Diceros bicornis minor: one gene and its partners. The protein of the gene in region 1 purifies or fractionates together with the protein of each later gene. This does not show direct contact. Links are inferred from orthologs where the notes say so. Each region holds a gene or a part of one and is shown in the gene's direction. Other genes may lie near its edges.

The links. The genes of interacting proteins can lie anywhere in the genome.
Region 2: the proteins of MET (region 1) and GAB1 purify together in Homo sapiens (affinity purification with western blotting; 3 studies listed by BioGRID and IntAct, with this or other methods). This does not show direct contact. The link is inferred for Diceros bicornis minor from reciprocal best matches to the Homo sapiens genes MET and GAB1.
Region 3: the proteins of MET (region 1) and PLXNB1 purify together in Homo sapiens (co-immunoprecipitation; 3 studies listed by IntAct). This does not show direct contact. The link is inferred for Diceros bicornis minor from reciprocal best matches to the Homo sapiens genes MET and PLXNB1.

What each region holds. Positions count from the first base shown.
Region 1 is NC_080742.1:67,624,146-67,631,306, forward strand, and holds the start of MET (hepatocyte growth factor receptor), read left to right. Parts: upstream 1-4,122; 5' UTR 4,123-4,181; intron 4,182-7,161. UniProt on the Homo sapiens protein: Receptor tyrosine kinase that transduces signals from the extracellular matrix into the cytoplasm by binding to hepatocyte growth factor/HGF ligand. Regulates many physiological processes including proliferation, scattering, morphogenesis and survival.
Region 2 is NC_080750.1:33,150,523-33,158,603, forward strand, and holds the start of GAB1 (GRB2-associated-binding protein 1), read left to right. Parts: upstream 1-5,025; 5' UTR 5,026-5,466; coding exon 5,467-5,538; intron 5,539-8,081. UniProt on the Homo sapiens protein: Adapter protein that plays a role in intracellular signaling cascades triggered by activated receptor-type kinases. Plays a role in FGFR1 signaling. Probably involved in signaling by the epidermal growth factor receptor (EGFR) and the insulin receptor (INSR).
Region 3 is NC_080741.1:49,801,238-49,808,953, reverse strand, and holds the start of PLXNB1 (plexin-B1), read left to right. Parts: upstream 1-4,660; 5' UTR 4,661-4,687; coding exon of another isoform or gene 4,688-4,702; intron 4,703-7,234; exon of another isoform or gene 7,235-7,428; intron 7,429-7,716. Other genes in the region: ATRIP (ATR-interacting protein), read right to left, coding at 575-745, 1,828-1,958, 3,844-4,090. UniProt on the Homo sapiens protein: Receptor for SEMA4D. Plays a role in GABAergic synapse development. Mediates SEMA4A- and SEMA4D-dependent inhibitory synapse development. Plays a role in RHOA activation and subsequent changes of the actin cytoskeleton.

The sequences.
Region 1 (7,161 bases):
TTTTAGATAACTTAACATTGCATGTTTTATTTTTAGAGAGCCCAGCCACAAGCAAATGACCAATACAAATCAACATAAAAGTAGTTCATATTGCAAGAGCCTCATTCTAACCCTTTGTAGCTGGCATTCTTTAAGACAAGGTTTCCCAAAGCATGTTACCTATTAAACTAATTTTACGGAAAATGGCTACTGAAGATGTTATGAGGAAAAAAAGGCATATTTTCGGTTTAGCTTTGTTCTGTTTTGTTTTTCCCTGTGATTTTTCAGAATCTTCAATATTCTAATGTGCATGATGTATCTCTAAAAAGGGTAAGAAGAGTCCTATATCCCCAAATTGTATTTGCCCACAGAAATGATTTGAGGAACCAGCACCTGAATAATTCTTCTTGTCCTTCTGTGGAGACCTTTTCCACAGGCACACTAATAGGGGCAACGGGGCAAGGGAAGGGAAGAGAGTAGAGCGAGAGAATCCAAGAATAAATACTCTAAGACAGGGGTCACAAATCCTAACACCTACAGGAGAAAGTGACGTCAAGATCAGAGGTAGGCGGGATGCATTACAAGAGAAGATGGGATGATGGCAAACTGCAGAACATATGTTCTGTCTATTGCAATTCAAACTTTTAAAAAACATTCTGTGGGCCTAGGCAAGTCTCTACAGGTTGCCAGCATGAAGCCCCTGTGCTAAGAAGATTTCTTTCGTTTCAAAAACAGTAACATGTGAACAAACTTAGAGTACCTTCAAAGATCCCAATTTTAATGTGTTGCAGGGAGAGCAGAAAGGATGTGGCATATTTAGAGCGAGACACTGCTGCTCCTCTCCCCTTTGACCATGGCTACCATTAGGCCATCTCAGGGTTAAGAGATGGGATCTTGCTTATAGTTGAGCACTATGTCATCCACAAGTGTGTAGATAAGGATAGCTCATGTCTTTCAAGCACTTATATTTTACCAGACACTATTCTATGTGCTTTACTTATAGCTCCTCATTTCATCCTCACAATAATCCTATTATCATCTCCATTTTACAGATAAGGCACAGAGAGTTTAAGCCACTGGCCTATAGTTACATAGCTAGCAAGCAGCAGAACTGGGCTTGAAATCCAGGCTGTCTGGTTCTAAAATCCACACCTTTAACTGCTATGCTACACGTGGAGATGTCTTGCTCCTCATTTGAGGGGTATATCAGTTTTGAATGCTTTTGGCCACAGACGACAGAAATCCCAGCTAACAGTGTCTGGAACAAGTATTTTTCTACAAAACAAAATCTGGAAGCAGGTGTCTACTGGCATTGGTGCTGTCGCTCAGCAGTGTCAGAGTCCAACTTTTCTCCTCATGGTTGCAAGATGGCTAGCTCTTTGCTGAGCATTATATATGAAATCAAGAACGCAAGAAGTGAGAAGGGGTGGCACCAGCTTATTAGGGAAACTAAACTCTTTTCCAGAAGTCCCCAATAGACCTCAGCTTAACTCATCACCAGAATGACATCACATGGTCATGTCTGGTTGCAAAGGAGTCTGAGAAAGCAAGTATTTCTCCTTTCCAGCTATAAGAGTGGAGGCAGGCAAGGGAATATCTGGTTGGGAACAGGTGCTGGCTTAGCCAGCCAACAATGTTGGCCACAGGGGTTTGGTTTGGTTAGGAAAATACCAACCGAACTTCATCATACAGTGTGTCACCCATGCCATGGATCCAAGGGAAGTTAAACAGCAACAATTAAAGTTGGCCACAAAACCAAAATTGAATTGTAGAACTCCTATGACCTTTTTTTTTTTCTTTTTTTGCTTCTTTCCTTTTCCAAATATGTGAAATTACTTTTAACTCTTTTCTGGATCAAACCTATCTAGGTAGTGCGTAAAAACTAATTATTTGATTTTCATACACTCAGTTACTTTTAGTTATGCTATTCTTAGTTATGTTATTTTTATAAAATATTATCTCCTTATTTATAATTAATAAATCAAAATGACAATTCTTAATAAGTTTCAAAATTGGACTGAAATTTGTCAGTAACTAGAAACTAGGAAACCAGTGCTGAAAATATATAATAGGTTATTTGGATTTATAATCTATTTTATTTTCCAGTTTGTACTGGATTTTCTGGGTCTTTCTACCACTTTAATTGTAATTTTTTTCTTTTATATTTTTATCATGGCACTCAAACTCAGAAAACCTGTTAAGGCAACTACATAATGCAATCTAAAAATCCAGTTAACATATTGCTATGGAAACCAGGAAACAGAATCAGCACTCTAACCATTCCTTTGGACAACTATGACTAATTATGTGTGTGTGTGTGTGTAAATTCATTAGTTTATTCACCTTTTATTGGAAGTTGGTACTGAACCCCAAAACTATAATTGACCTGTCCATAAATAGGCCCAGGGCCCTCCAACCAGTCAATTAGCATTTTAATATGAACCCTAGTCATTGTTAAATTACACCATGTGATATTAGGAAATCTTCAGTAGGGCTGTGTTGTTTATTTAGCCTTCCCAGGCTGTGGCCTCTTGGCATGTTGTGAAGAACACCTGACTGGGATTTGAGAGCTGGGTTCTAACCTCTCCTCTTCTACTAACCAGCTGTGTGACCCTCACAGGAACTCTCAGGCACTGAGTTTCCTCATCTGCAAAATGGTTCAATGCAGAGTTCTAGCACAGTATTATGTAACGGGAACTTTCCTTTTCCATAAAATTGGGGAATCATGAGGTAATCACATTTGAGGATGGAAACGGCTCTGTGTAGTCCCGGGTAAAGCGCCTGGCACATAGTAAGCTCTCAGGAAAACGGTAACTGTTCTTACTATATTTTCCTATTTTTCATTCTGTAGTAAATAATTCCTGAACCTACACAGTCAATGTCGTTTTGTCCCATGACTGTCAATAACTACCAGATGCCACTATCTGACAAGCCCTTCCCAGAGCCAGAGAGGAGAATGCTAAGTCCTAATAGGCAACGCTCTTCCTTAGATCCTGTTACCTTTGAGTGTTTATTTTCTCTTGAAGGTTAATGTCAATTTTTATATTCAGACATGTGAGATATAAAAAGTTATCCTGATACAACTCACCAAGGCCCTAACACCCTTTTTTTTTTTAAAAAAAAAATCGTAAGATTTCAACATTCAAGAATTAAACTTTTGTTCTGTTTTGCTTGTTCCTTGATGTTTGCCTAGTTATTTAATCAGCCTGTTTCCTGCTACAAAAAAAAAAAAAAAGTGATAGTGAAGTTTCATCAGGGTTCAACTCCTGTGTTGTTCTTCCTTCCAGAAATCCGAGTTATTATAGTAGAGGATAATGGTTGCATAACGATATCCTTGGGACAGTTCGTCCACCCACTCCCACCTCCGCCTGGACAATGAATGCCTTGTTTCCGCGGCGCCCTAACCGTCCTCCCCGCCGGGCAGCGCCCGGCGGCCGGCGGAGCCGCGGGAGAGGCTCCGGGCAGAGCCTCGCGCTTTTCCCGCCGGCCGCGCGCGGGGGAGCGCGGAGGGGGCGCGCCGGGGGACGCTCGCCGCGCGAGCACCAGGAGGGGGAGACTCGGTGCCGCTTATCTCCGGTGCTGCAAACTTCAAACTCCCCGAGCTGGGGGAGGAGAGAGCGCGCAGCCAGGGCGAGGAAACTTCTCCACCTAGAAAGTTTCACCTTGCCGTGGGCGGGGCGGGAGGAAACGCGACCCCCGCGGGGCCAGGCGCGGCGCGCGGGCGGCAGGAAGGGCGGGGGCCGATTTCCCCCTCTGGGTGGTGCCAGTCCCCACCTCAGCGGTCCTCGGACCGGCGGACGCAGCGGACGGACAGTGCGCGAGACAGACAGACACGTGCTGGGGCGGGCGGGCGAGCGCCGCGGTCGGGTCGCCTGGCCGTGCCTCCCGCCTGGACGCGCCCGGGCCGCGCGCGCCGATGCCCGGCTGAGTCACGGGCCGGGCAGCGCGCGGGTGGGGAGGGGCGGAGGGAGCGCGGTCGGCGAGCCGACGGGGCGCTCGGCTGGGCCCGGAGGCAGGTGACCCGGAGGTTCTCGCCGCCCGCAGCGCCCCGAGCCCCGAGCGCTTTGTGACCAGATGCAGAGCCCAGCGGAGGGCGCGAGCCAGATGCGGGGCGACAGCTGACTTGCTGCGGGGAGGCGCGGAGCGCGCCGGTGGTCCCAGCGCGGCTGACTTCTCCTCCGCCGGGTCCTGGGCGCCGCAAGGTAAAACTGCAGTCCGCTTCAGATCCCGTACCCACCCCTGGCCCCAGCGCTTCTCCTCTCTTTGTTCCCCTAAGAGACCTGACTGCTGTTCCAGAGGACGAGACCGGGGAGGTGGGCGAGAGTTTAGGGGCTTCAGAAACTGAAGGACTGTGGCCAGGGGGGAGTCGAAACTAGAATGGGGCTTTTCGTTTTAGGGGGTTGCTTCTGACGGCCACCTGTATGACTCAGGAGAGAGAGGGGCGCAATACATTGCAACAGGGGTTTACATTAGATGTACACTCTGTGCTTTCAGAATTAGTGGATAAGGTTTGTCTGAATGATAAAGATGTACACAGATGACAAGATTAAACCACAGCCAGTCAGAGGAGAGGGTGATGTATGACTGTTATGGCCGGGCAAGTTTCAAGGCTGTGATCTGACTCAGCCCTTACAAAGGGGATCCGGTCACCCAGTCCCAGGGTGATGCAGCCGGCAAGGTTTGAGCCGCAGAGCGGTTTCCTTGTTCCTTGTTCCCAACCCTGCTTTATCTGTATTAGTGGGTGGGGGTCCTTCCAAGGGGCAGGTGTTTCTGTGAAGGTCTGAATTCTTCATTTCTAGCAAATACACAGGGCTTTGTGATCCATCATTTTCAATCGTACCTTCTCTCTTGGCTGGGACTCTGTGGAGGACATCTATCTTATTAGGTGAAATAGATTATAACCAGCGGTCGGCAGTCTGGCTTGTACTGGTACTGACCCAGTAATTAAAGCACCAACCAAAGTATTTTCACCAGCTATTGCCAATGCAGAATTTACTCCCAAGTACGGTTTCCCATTTCATACCTTTTATGTTTTAAAAGAGTCATTTACTAATTTGACAGTTGGAGAGGGTTGCAGTGGCTCACACATGAATAGTTGCCCAGTGTATTTTACAATTTAACAATTTTATCTTCAAAGGAGCCTTGGGGCAGAATGAAATATTGTCAACTCTCTTAGGCAAAATAATCAGGATACTTTAATTGCCAAGTTCAAGATGGTCGATGAATGTGAGAGGATTGTAAAAACTGACGTTGGAGAGAATATAGACTATCTGGACCCTCTCCTGAATTTTAAGAAGACTGTTAACGTTGTGTAGAGTTGGGTGGAGGTTTCTCCTGTCATTTTCATCAGCCAGACACATGCACATTGCCATGCAAATGGATTCAGAAAAACATTATTTTCCTTTACAGCTAAACTATTATAGCTGACTAATGAATTTTTTCTGCATGAGGATGATCTGAAAATGGTGTACATCATGTTTCTCTTTGCTACTGGGACATAAATTGTGCTTTTATGTAAACTGTAAGTGGTGCTCAGATTATTTACAGGTGCATAGCTTTCCTTTCCAGCTCTGAGCTTACTGGGCTTTGTTTTAACATGTAACCGTCCGTAATGGAACAGAGCTGAGATGCTTTGGTTCCAGTCATAGACTGCAAAAGCCTGTGGTGTATTCAGTGTTCATTCTTTTTGGGTTGCTGAATAAGACAGGTGAAATTTACATCACTCATAAGAAATTTTTTGTTGTACCAAAATTTTTTGTGTCTGATTGCCTATAAAATATACTGGTGTTTTAAAAATTCTGTTCGTTTCGAACTTGACAGTGCATAAGCCTGTAGTTATTAACCTAAGTATATTTTGATTTTAATATGATGGAATTTATGGCATATAGAAGATGATCTGCTGACTACTGCTTTTTCTAAGATTGCTTTGTTCTTAATACTTGCAGTAGAGGTTTACATTAGATGTACACTCCGTGCCTTCAGAATTAGTGGATAAGGTTTATCTGAATGATAAAGATGTGCAAGATGAACCACAGCCGGTCACTATGAAAGCTCGTAACTAGTATTTTCATGACTTTTAAACCTACAATAAAAGAAAAATGTTACTTTTCTAAGTGGGGGAAATACTCTTATAAATTCCTTTAAGACTGTATGTGTATGTCCCACTATAATCTTGAAATTTTAAAAAAATTTGTTTTAATGAGGGTTAGATTAAGAAATACATTTCAAAAATCAATTTCCTTAGCTGTTGATTAAAAAATAGTCCAAAATAGCATTAGTCTAAAAAATAGTCCAAAATAGCATTAGTCTAATTTTCCTTTTACAAATGGGTATAATAGCCTCAAACAAACTTTTTCTCAAATGTGGTCATCTCAAAACAAAGTGAATAACTCAAAAGGTCTAACATCCTCTCAGGACGCACACTGTTCTCTAAGTGGCTGCACCAGTGCCTATGGTGACACACCCATGGTGTGTACACAGCTCCCTGCACGTTCAGAGTAGCTCCGGTCTCTCTGCCCCCTTCCTCCTCATCCCTTTCCCTTGGTTTGGTCAGAGCTGCTTCCAAGCCCTTCTATGCTTTTCTCCACTCCAATTTCATGGTTTCTTCGCTGTCATTAGGCTTAATGCTTCTCACCAGACTGTCTATGCTTTCTTTTCCCACCATCCATAATATTCTGTGTTTGTTCATGGAATCCCGAATTTCTTAATTGTGCCACCTTAAGGGGATTGAAAATATGCGGAAGCTCAAGGGCTGGGCATGTAACCTCCTTTACTTCCCTGGTGTATGTTGAAACTGGTGTCTTTGACTCTGAGCCTTCAGGGCAGAGTTTCTCCAAGGGCTTTGCTCATTGCAAAATAGTCACCTCTTAGTAATAAATGGTAGGTATACTGACTGATGTCAACTCAGGATCACTTTGATTCTCTGTTCTTAACAGACACTCAGTTGCTGCCAGGCCCACATTCGCCTCACCAAAAATAGCTAAGAACTGTATGTTGAGCGTTCTATGTGTTTGGTACTAGGGGAACATTTTTTAAAAGGAAGAAATGAAATCTCTGCCCTTGAAGAGTTTAAAATCTAGATATACAGATAAATATCACACATAGAAACTGAACCAAGATCCATAATTATTAAGGGGACATCACACATATTTAATTATTAAGGAGAATGACAATGTTAGGAGT
Region 2 (8,081 bases), on another chromosome or scaffold:
ACCACTGGGTTTTTGTGGTTTTTTTTTTTGGCTAAGGAAGATTCGCCCCCTGAGCTAACATCTATTGCCAATCTTCCTCTTTTTTTGCTGAAGAAAATCTACCCTGAGCTAACATCGGTTGCCAATCTTCCTCTATTTTGTATGTGAGCCACAGCCACAGTATGGCCACTGATGAGTGGTGTAGGTCTGTACCCAGAAACTGAACCTGGGCTGCTGAAGCGGAGCATGCTGAACTTAACCACTAGGTCACTAGGGCCGGCACTCACCACTTGTTTTTGTAAATAAAGTCTTATTGGAACACACACATACACACAAAAGGTGACAGAAAGAATTCATTGAGAGTAGAGTATTTAGATATATAGAGAAGAGACCATTTATAGGGAAAGGTTCTTGGGAAGGTACAATGGGATGAAATCCAAAGCATAAAGTGGAGGGATTGGCCTATCATAGGAGGAAAGCAATGTCCTCTATTTGCCATAAGAAGAAGGGAGAGTAGGAGGAGTGAAGATGGTATGTAGGTTTGCATGTTTAATGGCTAGAAGCTGAAGGAGTTTCCATCTGAGCACTTTGGTTTTCTGGTGAAGCTGTAAGAAATATCTTCAGTTGATGGAAAAGGTGGAGGGTTTGGAAATTTGAGAAGTTTGAAGAAGGTTTCAGTTATCACAAGCATTATTCATAATAGCCAAAAAGTAGAAACAATCCAAATGTCCATCAACTGATAGATGGATAAATAAAATGTGGTATATCCATACAATGGAATATTATTTAGCAAAAGAAAGGAATGAAATACTGATACATACTACAACATAGATGAACTTTGAAACCATTACACTAAGTGAAAGGACACAGTCACAAAAGGTCACATATTGTTTGATTCCATTTATATGAAATGTCCAAAAGAGGCAAATCCATAGAAACAGAAATATTACTGGTTGTCAGGGGCTACAAGGAGGGGAAGAAAGGAGGAATAGGGAGTGACCGTTAATGGAAATGGAGTTTCTTTTTGGGGCGATGAAATATTCTGAAATTAGATACTGGTGAGGTTGAAGAAATATTTGAATATACTAAAGACCACTGACTTGTAACTTTAAAAAATGTGAATTTTCTGGTATAGGAATTATATCTCAATCAAGCTGTTATTTAAAAAAAAAGAGAGAAAAGTTATTAAATAGGCTAGTTGCACTATGCAGATAAAGGAAGTGGGATTGGCAGGCAGCAGAGACATCCACGAAATTAAATAAGCTTCAGCTTGGAGACCCTCATTGCACAAGTCCCCATGAGAATAGGGAGCTGCTGGAAGAGGTGGTGTGTCCTAGTTGAGAAGGGAAACCAGGAAGCACTCAGGAAGCATATCCACGTTAGGATTCTGGTAATCATAGAGATCTCAAAAGAAAGGCATCTGTATCTCTAAGCCTCCAGTAATTTTTTATTTATTTCTTCATTCTAAATACATATTCATCCTAATTTTGTATTTGTAATTGTATATTCTTTTCCTTTAAAAGGACTCTCCCCAAACTGTAGAAGCTTCAAGTTCCAGAAAACCAAGATCTGCCCTTGCAGATAGTTGAGGATGTATTTGAGGTCATTGAACACGAATTTATAGTGATGTCACTCATCCTGTTGTGTGACTTGCTCCAACAGTACTCAGCTGCTTGGGTGTAAAAGAGAGTAGAGTTGAGTTCATCTAGAGTTGGGGTTTTGTGAGTTGGGAGCATGTTATTAAAAATGTGGACCACAAAATTTAAACTGGATAAGCGGGGATGTGAAGTAAGGAGAGGTCTGATGGATCATGAGAAAGCAGAGGAGTCAATAGGCCACAACAGTTGTTGAGAAGAAAGATGATTATAGAGGAGAATTTGAAAGATCAAGTTGGAAGATAACATGGTTAAGGTGGGATGCCGGAGGTGAATGACAATGTCCATAGGGGCGATTGTTTGAGGCGATCTGAAGGTCACAGGCGATGACATGATCATTTGCTCTAAGGAAAATCTAAACTCAAAGATGATCTTCAAGGAGCTGCACAATCTGTCCCCTGCCTGCCTCTGTAACCTCACTCAGCCCAATGTCCCTCTCACTTGCCTCACTGCTGCCTTCATTCAGGAGCTCCTTCAAGCCTAAGGACTTATACACCTAGGAGTTTCTCTGTAGTTTCTCTTCTGTCTAGAATGTTCTCCTCCGCTACTTGGCCAGGCCAACTTCTACTCATCCCGAGGATCTCAGTTTAAAGTCTTTTCCTCAGGGAAGTCTTTCCAAATCTAACCACTCTTCTCCCAAGGGGTAGATCCTCCTATTATATGCCCAAATAAGACTCTCTTTTTTCTTTTATTTATTTATTTATTTTTTCCCCCAAAGCCCCAGTAGATAGTTGTATGTCATAGCTGCACATTCTCTTTTTTCTTTCACAACATTTATCAACCATATTGAAGAAGTGATGGGGCTAACTATTTGTAAAATAAAATTATCTGTAAAATTTAATAAAATTATCTGTAATCTGTAAAATAAAACATACACAGACTTCTCCGGGATTGAGGAGTGCAGGAACAGGTCTGGCTTTCCTCTCTGTTGTATTTGAGATCCTCAGAGACTTGCACATACTAGGACGTTCCATAAATATTTGTTGTATGAATGCAATTTAAGACACGTATAATAGCTTTTTCCAGCATACGTTTTAAAATACAAAGATATAGAACATGGTTTAACAGATAATCTGAAAACGGCATATAATATAAAAATAATGTAAATTTCCTTCCTAAAATACATACATGGAGACATATCTATCTTCAACCTCTCCTCAACCCTTATTTCATCTCTACAAATACAAATCTAAAACAACACAGTCGAAGATAGGGAAAAATAAAGATTTCTTATATAGAAATGAGATAATTGGATCCCTTATTTGAAATAAAAAAGTTATTGGAACTTCCAAAGGTAAATAGTACATTATACTACCATTTTCCATTAAAAAGGACTTTACAACAGGAGTGGAGGGAGTGGTGAATTTTTTAAAGCCAACAACACATTTGGAGGACGTGAGGCAAAATCTGTGTTCACATACTTAGAAAGAATCGCTTTGGTTTATTAGCTGCCATAAAATTTACACTCATGTTCTAAAAAGCCTTTAAATTTAAGAAAAACAACAACAACCCCTCTTGCTTGTTCTTTCTCTCAATCCTCTTTATGGTTTTCCTTGTTTCCACAAAACAAGTCTGATTCTCTTCTCTTTAATCTTTTAAATCTCTGGCTAAAGGCCTCCTCAAAGAAGACTTCCTTCTTATTCTGTCTGACCTAGTCCACTCCAGTTATCCTTTCACCTTACTGTGTGTTTATTTCCCTCAGGGCACCACATTTATCACAATCTGTACTTATGTTGACCTTTTATTTGTTTACTATCCTATGCGACCGCGGGAATGTCACCTCCGTAAGTGCAGGGACCCTTGTCACCACCCCCAGCCTACTATAATTGTACATTTTCAGACTCAGAGGAACTCCTGAACACGAATGATGTGTTAATAAGAAAATGCCTGAGGTTATTTTTCCCAGAAATGTTCACTTATCTCCTTTTATCTGATTGTTTATATTACCTTCTAAAATTTGTTTTGGGGCTTTGTTTTTCATAAAAAAAGTGGAAAAGATATTTCTATTACAGGATCAATCATGTTAAACTCAGGACCAGGGATCATAATTGTAAAACACATACAAATAGGCAAATAGAACTAGGACATCCAGTAAGTTTCCCTTTCTAGTCCAACATCCCAAGGGTAGATTTTAAAGAAATACGAAGTCAGTGGAAGAAACTGGCAACAAATGGAGGCAGTGTGAGACTAAAATGTCCCAGAGCCAGACTCGGTCAAATCCTTTGGCCCCGATAAGCGCTCCCACCACTCTGGCAGGGTTGCTTCGGGGACCAGTCCACGCCAGGCTGGGTGGGTCCCCCTCTGTCCTCCCCGCCAGGCTGGTCCCTAAGGCGCACTCCCCTTCGCCTTCGCCCTCCCGGTCCTGGGGCTTCAGTCTCGCCGGCAGAGATCAGCGGGGTCGCGGACTCTCCAAGGCGCCGTGGGCTCCCCAGGCTGTTTTGCTTTGCAGGCTGTCAAGTAGAGAAACCCACCCCATGCCCCAACCCCTCCCCCCCAACTCCTGATTTCGTGCACAGTACAAACTCCGAAGTGACACCCGCCAGAGCCAAGATGGCAAACCGCAGACTGAACAAGAACGTTAGTCGCTCTTCCCCGCGCCCAAGCCCCGGTGGCGCTGCCTTCTCCGAGGACTCGGCCGCGTTCCCCGGCGAGGAGCCCCCTGGGGGCTCCAGCCGCCACCGCCGCCGGGCGGCCGAGGACCCCGCTCCAGGTTCTCGAACTACAGATCCCAGGGTGCCTCTCGGACTCCCGCTCCCTCCCTCCTTCGCTCCCTCCCTCCGTCCGTCCCCTCCTCCCCCGGCCCTTGTTGTTTTGGCTGGAAGCGTTCTGGCGGAGTTTCAGAGAAAGTCTGGACAGAAACCTGAGCCGGCCTGAACGTGGGAAGGGGAGGAGGAAAGGGAGGAAGAGAGCGCCGGGAGGCCGGGAGAGGGAGGGATCGGGGCTGGGGGCCGGGCCGCTCAGAACCTGCCGCGCGCCCCAGGGTGGGGGAGGCGGCGCGGGAAGAGCGAGAGGGGACGGGACAGTGGGATCAGTCCCGGGAGCCCAGCAGCCGAGCGCCTCGTCCCCCCGCCGCTTCCCGCCCTCTTCGGCGGCGGCGAGAGCGAACCCACCCTCCGGCGGGACCTGCGCCCTCCCCAGCGCCCGCCGCCCGGCGACGCCCCGCGCTTGGCCGCCGACCCTGCGGCTCCCTCCGTGGCCCGGGACCTGCCCTGCGCCCGCTGCCCACGGGACCCTCGCGGCTCCCCCTTCCCTCCGCGCTTTTGGGCGCCGCGGGGAAGTGACCCAGCCTCCCCCGAGGAGGGGGAAGGAGATCGCCCGGGGCGCACCGAAACCGAGAGCGGGCGAGCCAGAGTGGGCGCCGCGCGGGGTCATTGTGTGTGTGAGTGAGTGTGTGTGTGTGTGTACGCGTGCAGCGTAGTGTCTGTTTCGGAAAACGCTCTGGGGAGGTCCTGTCCCTAGAGGGCGGAGCGCAGGGGACCGAGGCTCCGGCGCTTTGCTGGGTCAGAGTCCCGCGGAGCCGGAGCGCTGCTGGGGCGGCCGGCGGGACGGCGCGCCTGGCGGTGAGGCGGGCGCCCTCGGCCCGGCGGCGGCCCCTGCCCGGAGCTGTCGGCCTTGGTGGCGCAGCCCGCCCCTGTCGACGTCCGCGGACCTGCGCGGGAGAGGCTCGGCCGCCGAGAGCCAGCGCGCCGCAGAGCCCGCCCGCCCCGTCGGCCCGGGCTGCGCCGCCGGAGAGCCAGGTCCTCGGCGCTGCGCGGCGGCGGGCGTCGGCCGTGTCGGGAGCGCGCCCGGCCGCCCGTCTGCTGCCCGGCGCGGAGCCGGAGAGGCGCGCACCATGAGCGGCGGCGAAGTGGTCTGCTCGGGATGGCTCCGCAAGTCCCCCCCGGAGAAAAAGTTGAAGCGTTATGTAAGTACAGCTTCGGCCTCGGCCGCGCCGGCCTCCGCGCCCGCACCCCTCCCCGGCCGGCTCGCCGGCGGCTGCAGCCGGCCGCGCGCGGGGCTGCTTCTCCAAGTCAGTCCCCATCTCTTCCCCCTCGACCCCTTCCCCATGCTCGGGACCGAGTCGACACTCACGCCCTGGCCTCCTCTTTGCCGGGCAACTTTCCTCCTCTGGATTCCAGACGCCGGCTTTGCGGGCCTTCTCGGCCCATAGGAGGGCCCGGCATGTCCAGCTAAACGCCCGCTGCGTGTTTCTATTATTCCTTTTAGCAGGGGTGAGGAGAAGACCATTCTTTCTTTATAGCTGCATCTCATCGTTATGGGGCTGCTGTGTCCTCAGTTTCCCGCACTAGGAAAACCGCGGAGATTTTAGAACTCACCAGCCCTCTCGCTGGTCCGCGCCGCCTCTCGCTTTCCCTCGAGGTGGGTTGCGGGAAGCGGGCTGTGGACCTGAGAAGTCAGTATTAGAGACAGGCATCTCAAATCGGCGCAGAAGGGAAAGAAAAGTTATTACGCGCTCTACCGTTTGCTTAACAGGGTTCACATTTTCGCGGTTTTGAATCGAGGGCCATTGGAGCTTGGCCCGAGAGCCTTGGCAGTTTGCTGCGAGAGGAGGGCGCTGGGGGGAGCCTGGTGGCTGGTGTTTGGGCGCCTTGGACACGCTGTCAAGCTCTGCAGGAGGGGACAGCTGGGGCCAGTAAGGATTTCTGTTTGTTGCGGTCCTTTCCCAGGCCACCAGAGTTGCTTAAATGGTATTTGTGTGATTGATACAAGATGCTGATTATGTGTTAAACCGTTTTAGCTGTTAGGGAGAAAATTCCTTGAAAGAATCAATGTTTCTTTGGTGGAAATCTGTGTCTTCTTCAGGGGTCTGAAATCTCGCCCCTTCTCCCCCATTGGTGCTTTTGTCGCTGCCCCCTGCAAAGGAAAGAACTGATGCTTTTGCCCTGGCATTTGGAGCAAATATTTTTCTAGTAAAATATATTTCAAAAGCAAAATTTATGCCCCCTAAAATATAAATTTACTATCAGGGGGCTGACACTTCTTCTAATGGAACCTGTTTCTTGTTGAAGGACATCTACACCCAGTGTTAAAGCTCGGGTTAATCCTATTAGTCACTGTTTGCTTGTATAGAATGGAGTGAAATATTTAACTTCACTGACAACTCAGCAGTGAGTTCTGATTTACTTTCTGCCAGAATTTGTTATAGACAAGTAATTCTCATTTAAAGATTTGATGCCACAAATCCTAAGAAAGTTCTCCAGAGATTTTGCATCCTTCCAAATTCTGTCTCTCCACCTATCACAGCTTGCCTGAATATTAATGGTAAAGATGCTGACTTTATTCCAAAAATTTGAGAGAAGTAGTAGTTTTTTTCAGCTCTTAGTTCTAAAGAGAACGTTGTATGTGTGTGAGAAGAGGGAGTAGGGAGAGAGATGTATTTGTTTTGAGAGGGCACACTTTAGGAAAGACATAGATCTAAGTGATTGGGTTCTTGGGGGAACTAAAGAACAAAATGTTTGCTGAAATAGGTAGTGATAATAGAGAATTACTGCATTCTTTCACGTGGTTGGTTTGTGGCTCCGTCAAAAGATGCTAAGCACTGAACTAGGCACCCTAGGATTAGAAAACACAGTAGGAAAACAGCCCTGCCTCTTGGACTTGCAATTTAATGTAATATAAACCAAGAAGAAAATCAGCCAAAAAGATTATGTCATAACAAGGACCAAAAAAAAAAGGAAAGTCTAACTTAAAAAAGTATTTATTATTTTATTTGGTCGTTACAACAGTTTAATGCGGTAGGTGTTATCTCTGTTTTACAGATGAGAAAACAGTCTACATAACTAGAATGTACCAGAGGTGGGATTTGAACCCAGATCTGCCTGACTCACTGGGCTCTAAAAGGTTAATGCCTCTCATCTAGTTCATTTCAGGTAGAGCTCAGACTAGATCATCGCTAAAGGTCCTTTCAGATTATAACTTTCTATAAGTCTGTGAATGTTAGTTGAGAATGTGAGGAATAGGTGGGCTGTGGATCAGATGTGCAGTGCTCAAGAAACGTAAGACCCTTCAAGCAGCTTTCTGGGTCTTTGGGAAGATAGGTCAAGTATACATGAAAAAGTGAGCCAGCAATTCATAGTGGTTTCTCATTGTGTGCCCAAGCTGAGTGGTATGTTTGTTCTTTTTTTTTAATAGATGTTTTGAGGAACAAATCCAATGTAGTCTGAAACCATGAGAATATTTGAGAGAGACAGCAGGCTACCTAAATTGTGTTTTCAACAGGGGGAAGAATATGCCTAACAGCTAGCTGGGAGGAGGCGGGGTTTTCTTGCCTGGAGGAACACTAGTCTTTTCTTTACACACCAGTGACTGGGCCATGGAGATGGCCCAGGAAGACTGGGCAGGGTGGCTGTTAGAATTGAGGGGTCCAAGAGGGTGACTGAAGTGTTATACGTTACAATGAAACTTGTCTCATATTTTAACTGTCAAGTTGATTGCCCAGAAGATTTT
Region 3 (7,716 bases), on another chromosome or scaffold:
CTGGGTTAGATAAAATAGAGCCTTCCCCAGAATTTTAAAGCTTGAGATGAGGGAGCCCAAGTTTTCAGTCTGCTCTGGAGCCATGAAATATGAGCCCAGGAGCTTCCGGAGAACACATCCTCTACCATAAGGATGGAGCCTGTTTTTAGCATAGAGAATAAAGATGAGTTCTGGCACAGCTTGAGTCATTGGAGGCCCCAGCACACCTGTTTTTCCCAGATTTAGTTATGGAAGCCAATTTATTTCCTTTTAGCCTAAGCTAGGGAATTGAGTTTCTGATCTTCCCAAAAGCCCTAATTTAAGTCTGTTTCTGGAAAGTCTAAGCTAGTGATTTATTCCTGCCAAGACCTGCAAAGCAGAGTTTCATCTAAGTCCTTTGCTAAAACACATGCAAAGCCTGGAAGAAAAGTATATGCAATTAGCTGATACCAGAAAGTCTTTAAGACAAACAACTGTTGAAAACCTCCTCGAAGATTTACAGGCAACTTTGGTCATTGCTTCTAAAGGAACTCAGTGAGCAGACAAAGCTGATAAGCTGATGTCAGTAAGAAGCAAAGCAAATGCTCTGGGTCACCTTTTTGGAGAATTCCTTTTCTTTGTCACTGAGTGCTTGAGTTTTTTCTTGCTCAAGAAGGAAATGGGATCTTCTCTGTTCCTCTAGAATGGATTCTGTCTGATGCAGTGAGTCCCGCAAAATTTTAATTTCTCCATTTTTAAGGAGGACTTCGTCTTCCATTGCCTTCATCTGTAAATCCCAAATCAATCTTGTGACAAATTTGTAAGGGAAAATTATATATGTACTTGTTTCAACATGTTGCTGGGGAGACGGAGAAAGCACACGTGAAACATGTCCTACAGACCAATGAGTGCTCAAAATATACCCCTACCAACCAGATGTCACCATGATCTGCCAGGCCCATTCATGAGACAGCTGATATTCAGCAACATAGCTTAAGGACACACTTGTCACTTATGCATGCAGATTCTGTAGGCTCCAGTAGGTATTAAAAAATCTGGGTCACACACCTCACAGAACTAAAATTCCACATTATGTTCTTGGTTTTCCTAGGGACCTATAGATGGTCATATGAAAGATGTCTGCTTTTTTTGCAAAACTGCTAATGAAAATAGCAACCATTATGATGTTGTGTTCCTTATATAAGGCATATACTATAAATTTATCTCCGTGCTAAAACAGAAAGTTTGTGTCTCTTTTTGGATCTGGTGTACAGTGTTTCCTTTCTTGCCTTGGCTGTTAGGAATCTCAGGATTTACTTTTCTTTTTTTTTTGGTGATGAAGATTAGCCCTGAGCTAACGTCTGTTGCCAATCCTCCTCTTTTTGGTGAGGAAGATTGGCCCTGAGCTAACATCTGTGCCCATCTTCCTCTACTTTATATGTGGGATGCCTGCCACAGCGTGGCTTGATGAGTGGTGCGTAGGTCTGCACCCGGGATCCGAACTCGCAAATCCCAGGCCACCCAAGCGGAGCGCGTGGACTTAACCACTACACCACTGGGCCAGCCCCTCTTTTATATATATATATATATATTTTTTTTTTTTATTGAGGTAACACTGGTTTATAACATTATATAAATTTCAGGTGTGCATCACTATATTTTGATTTCTGTTAGATTACATCATGTTCACCAAGGATTTAGTTTATTTCAGCCTAAATTTTCTGGCTTTCTTTCCCCAGCCTTCCTCCATTTCATGGAGATGAATCTGGGCTCTTGTTTTAAAACTTTTATATATTTTATTGTACAATGCTTTATAATACATGCATAAGTGAATGAAGTAACTACAAAACCACAAATTAAGTCACTTACCTTTTCTTTAAGTTCTTTGTATTGTGCCTGAAGTACCTCTAATTCAAAATTATCTTTAACTGGAACACTTGCTCTGTTTTTCCCTGCAGGATTTTTTGACATCCCATCTAATCTGGGGACCTTATGAACATCTGTAAAAAACAGTTCCCATATACTTTTCAGGACCCAATATTTTCCCACCTTTGCCAGACAATGCTGAAAAGAATCACTCTTGAAAGCAAATTAGAGAAAGATCTAGTAAGCAATATACATATCTCCAACCTAAGAACATGATTTAAACTCATAAATGATCTTTATGAAATAACAGATCCTGCTACCCTCACCCCATCCCCCACTCAATTTTAAGAGTCTAAAGGTTGAAAGGAGCTGTGGGGATCTCACTGGTTAGAACCCTGTGATCTGTTATTCAACAATATTTATTGAGTACCTATAATATGCCAGGCACAATTTAGTCTCTAAAGGTACAATAGCGAGCAAAATGGATATAGTCCTTACAATCATGGAATTTACAGGACATTCAAAAATAATCATACAAATAAATGTAAAATTACAACTGTGATAAAAGCTGCAGAGGAGAACAAATATAGGAAAGGCTATAATAGAGGGATCTGACCCAAGTGAATGATTGGCAAGCCTCCCTAAGGAAGTGATGACTGAGCTGATAGCTGAAGAACAAGCAGGAATTAACCAGATGAATGGGGATGGGGAATGGATGGAAAGCACACTCAATGTACAAGAAACAGCAACTTGCAAAGTTTCTGTCTTGTAAGGAAGCAGAGAGAATTCAAAGAATGAAGGAAAGTCAGTGTGGCTAGAATTCAGGGAGTGGGAAAGGGACAGACCATGCTAGGCCTCGCAGGCTATGTTAAAGATTTTGATCTTTATACTAGAAGCAGTGGGAAGTCATTAAAGGCTTTCAGTAGGGATGCTCGCGTGAATCTGTGAGACACAGACAAATTTGAGTTTTGAAAAGATCACTGTGGCTGTGGTGTGAAGTCCAACTTGCAGAGAGTCAAGACTGGAAACAGGGAGACAAGGAGTTGTCCAGACTGTTGTCCAGAGGAGGGGCAATGGTGACATAGATCAGAGATATGGTAGAGATGATGCAAAGAGGATGGATTCCAGAGAAGGAATAAGAAGGTAAAGTTACAGGATTTTGAAAGGAATTAGACGTATGGTCAAGGAAACGGAGCCATTGCCTTGTGCCACCTGATGGAGAGCGGGCTAGTCATTGTTGTGCAGAACATTTGGTCATTGATGAGTGTTTTCGGAATATCTGCTTTGCCAGGCAGTGTGCTGGACATGCTGGATTTCCAGGAAATGATTGTGTGGAATTTAAGATGCTTTTGAGACATCCAAGTAGAGATGCAAGGTGCTCTCAAAACCTTTCTCTTTCTGGGAGCCCCACAAGACTTCACTCATTCCCCAACTATCACGTAAGCTCCATGAAGGAAGGGCTTTATGTCTTTTATTCATTACTAAGTGTGCTGCAGTCCCTAAGGTCTAGTCACCTAGTACAATTTATTGGTTGTATAAAAGAATAAGACTCTTTCATCTCTTGCCTCTGCCAGGCCTCTCTTATGCTCATGCCGCCCAAGGGAGAGCGTGATCTTCATTAGATCTAGAGCCTCCCAAACCCGTCACGAGAATGGGTCCCCATGCACAGGCAGTGATGGTTCCGATGGCGGTGGTAGCCGTGTTTCAAGGATCTCGGCTTAGAACCAAGAACCTAGTGGCAAACTTTAGAAACTAAAGTAAAATGTTAACCTAGTTTTCTATATTTCAAATCAGCTGTTTGACATTCCTGATACATTTCTCCTCAAAATCAAAGGACCTTTTGGGACACAACCGCTGCTTAAATCAAGCTGTTCATATATTTTAAAAAGGTGAAGGGGCAGTGTGGGTGCAAGACACCGGGGGCGACGGTCGCCCTGGGGTTCCGAAGCCACAGCCATCAAGGGGGGTCTGGCGAGGTCTGCACCACCCTCTGGGGAAAAGGCCCCGAGATGCACTCACTGAACACGTTCCGAGCCGCGGCCGGGCATTGGCTCAGGGCCTGTGACGCGAGGGTGTCGAGCTCCTCGAGATCGTCGGCGGTGAAATCCCCGTGCGCGCCGAAAGGGTCTTCAGGGTCTGGGGCGGCGGCCGCGGGGAAGCCCCGGGCCCGCTTGCTCGGAGGGTGCCCGGTGCTGGGTGGCGGGCCAGGGCTAGGCGCCGGGGGCCCGCTCCGCCTCCTGCTACCCGGCGCGGAGGTTCCAGCCATGCCTGCCGCCAGCCACTGTTCGAAGGCACCGAGCCCGGCCTGGTCGCCGCGAGACGGAGGACCTGGACCAACCGCCCGCGCGCCGCAGCTCGCCTCAGCCGCTCGGGCCACGCCCCCGATCCTAAGGGCCAATCAGCTGCCAGCCGGCGGGCGCGGAGGAATGACATACATCCGAGCGCGCCGCCGTGCTCAGCTGAGTGCCTGTCCTCGGTGGCGCCCAGCCCTCTGGGCCCCGCCGTTCGGGTACCGGCGCCTGGAACTCAGAAGGTCGGTGGCGGGAGCTCTGGCGGCGCGAACTGAGATACCAGGACTGCGGGTTTGAGGCTCACCGACCCCACCGCGCAGGTGGCTCTGCGCTTCCTCCCTGGCATCCCGTGGGTACACAGCCACGCTGGAGGAGTTCGCCCTGACATTCACAAGTGCGCACGTGAACCCAGGCAGGCAGCACTTAGGGGTTTGGTCTCTGCGACCTCGCTCTCCTCCCACCGGACCTACCTCTCACATACCCCGAGGCTCTCTTGGAGAGAGTGGGGCTGGGCGAAGATTATGAATAGAGCTGTTGTGAGCACACGGATTTGAGAACAGTAAATGTTTTGAATGTGTACATTTGAGGTACGTCTGGGGAAGAAAGGTCTAAGGAGAAGGGGGTGGGGGGAATCCTGAAAAGGGCGTGCCTGTGTTGGAGGAGGGTGGGAACTAACTGCTTAGGCTGTTAACATTCATTCATTAATTTTTCTGAGAGTCCTTGAGTGTTTTTGTCCCAAGCGCTGGTCATACAGAAATGAGTAAGGCTCAGGAGGTCAAGAAGTCTCCCTGGAAGTGGCACCTGGGCTGTCCTGCAGGTTGGGTGGGAGTTATCAAGAGTTAGCAAGGAGGCTGGCCCACAAGACTACTCAGACAAGAATACAACACCGAAGTGGAGGCCACACAAATGCCAGATAGGAGTTATCTATGGCAAAGAGAGAAGGTAAAGCTTCACAGAGGAGCAAGAATTCAAGCTGAGCTTGAGCCCGACAGGATTTTATCCGGCAGCAGTGGTGTGCAGGACGGTTAGCAGGAGCAGGCTGTTGGAGAGTAACAGGAACAAGACTCTTTTCATCCTTGCATGTTCAGTGCCAAACTTAGCCTGTGAGTGTCCTATGAATGTTTGTGAAAGCAGTAGATGAAAGGGAGATGGTTGTCAGGACCTAGAGGGTCTTAAATACTTGAGTTTAGTTTTGAGGCATTTGGTAGGTTCCCTCAGATACCTGTCCAAATGTTGAATGCGTAAGTCTTAATTGCTGCAGGTCTCTGGTCCTATAAAGAGACAGGATTATACTTCATTTGTCAGGAGGGATTAGGTTCCACCAAATAAAAAAGTAGTAGCTTACTCTCAGGGGCAGTGTGCTGGCACTGCCTCTCAGAAAGGTTGTTCTCAGCAGCCTAGGGCTGGGTGCCAGCTTCAAGGCCTCACGGGGAACACCTAAAGTCCAAAGAAGGTGCTGCGGGCTGTGTAACTTTCTGAGAGAGGACCAAAGCGGGCTTTTTTTTTTTCTTCTCTGTGGATATCAGGTACATTAGAGTCATAAAACAGGCTTCAATCTATCAAAATCTTTTCCAGTTTTGACTCAGCAAAATCTCAGACTAGTTCTAGAGCCCCTTTGAAAACACATTCTCAGAGAAAGCTTAGCATTATTAGCATTATTCCTATAATTTTATCAAGGGTCTGGAGGGGAAATCCAAAGACTTGTGCCTCTGGATTAAGTGTTTCAATACATGTGCATTTGGCATACATTATGGATGATCTCGTTTTCCAGGAATTTACTCCTTCTGGAGTCAAGGGTGGTAGATAATCAACAAATGTCAGGAGAAAAAAATGAAACGGAGTAAGAAATATTGGGACTGCCACTTTATAGAGTGGTCGGAGAAAAGCTCACTACTGTGATGTTTCAGTTCTCTAAAGGGAGGGAATCTCCACTACCACAAGAGTGACAGGCAGAATGAAGAGTTGCTGCGAACACAGTGAAGCAGGAGCTTGCTTGGAACCTAGGCCACTGTGGCTTAAGATGGATCAGGGGGATGAAGATATCAGTGGGTAGAGAGTGGCATCCAGATCCCTTAGATCTGGTCCTTGTAGGGACGCTGGCTTGTGCTCTAAGAAGGCACTGAAGAATTCTGAGCCAAGGAGAGACAGAGTGACTTTATGGTTTAGCAAGATCACTCTGGGTCCTGAGTGAAGATTAGACTGTAGGGGGGCAAGGGTAGGGGCAGGAAAACAAGTATGGATGTGATTGCAATAATCCAGGTGAGGGATTTTAGGGTTAGAATGGGGAGGTGGTGGTGGTGGTACTGGAGGAAGAATAAAGGGGCCAGAGTTAATTTTGCTGATGGGTTGAATGGGGGGTATAAGACATGGGAACCTAGCAAGGACCTTTCTGAAGCCCTAGTGGAAATGCAGACCTGGGGGCTCTGGAGTAAGCTTGGTACTTAGAGACTTTCAGGAATCTTTCCCCAGTTTTCTTCCTTTCACAACGCATATCATATGTATTTGTCCTGCTCCCCTCCCACAATAGAGAAGTTCCTTGACAGCAGGAATTGTTCACTGGTACGTGCTCAGCCTGCACACAGGAGACTCGACTTACATGAACAGATGAACAATCCCATTAAAACAAATGGCAACATGGATGTTATGACAGAGAAAGATGGGTCTTCTGTTTTTTTTATAATTTTTTTTTTCCCCCAAAGCCCCAGTAGATAGTTGTATGTCATAGCTGCACATCCTTCTAGTTGCTGTATGTGGGACACAGTCTCAGCATGGCTGGAGAAGCAGTGCGTCGGTGCGTGCCTGGGATCCGAACCCGGGCCGCCAGCAGTGGAGCGCGCGCACTTAACCGCTAAGCCATGGGGCCGGCCGGAAAGATGAGTTTCTTTCCAAAGTACAAATTCTTCCACTAACCTCATGTAATGTATTCTGTTGAGTATACAACCAGACAGAAACAACAGCCATTTGAAATGAGCTGGTTTAACTCCAGGTGGTACAGAATTCGGGATAGAACAAAGACTGAAGAACACTGGCAGGATTCTGGGCTGGGTTTACTCTGACCTCACAGCTAAGGTAGAAATGGCTGAGTGAGAAGAACTAAATAAAGACGAGTCACTGTATGATTTTTTTTTTTTTACAAAATTTATTCTTAAATGTACAACAGGCTCCAAGACAACACTTCATTCTAATTATAGGTGGCAACAGATGTTATGGCAGGGAATCCAGATGTTTAAACAGGAATGGAATTAACAATCACCACTGCCTCAGGCACAAGGAACAGCTTACTTTTTCCCCGATTTCTTAATTCCACCTGTGGCTGAAAAAAAAAGGAAAAAGTCTCAGCTAGGGAAAAATACCGTTCTTATGGTAGACGCCCCAGGGGCTTGATATGAATCCCAGTAAGGCTCAGCTCTTGTACTGGGCATTCTTTGTGACACAAGCATGCACAGGGCTTTACCAATATTGTCTACTCTGGGCAAATGCAGAATGAGGATGAGGCAGAGGCACAAGTAATGGCTGTGCACTGGTCTGGATCTACACTGTGTTGTGTGTTTCACAGATTGGCTCATTTAATCCTCATCCCCTATCAACCCATTTTACAGAT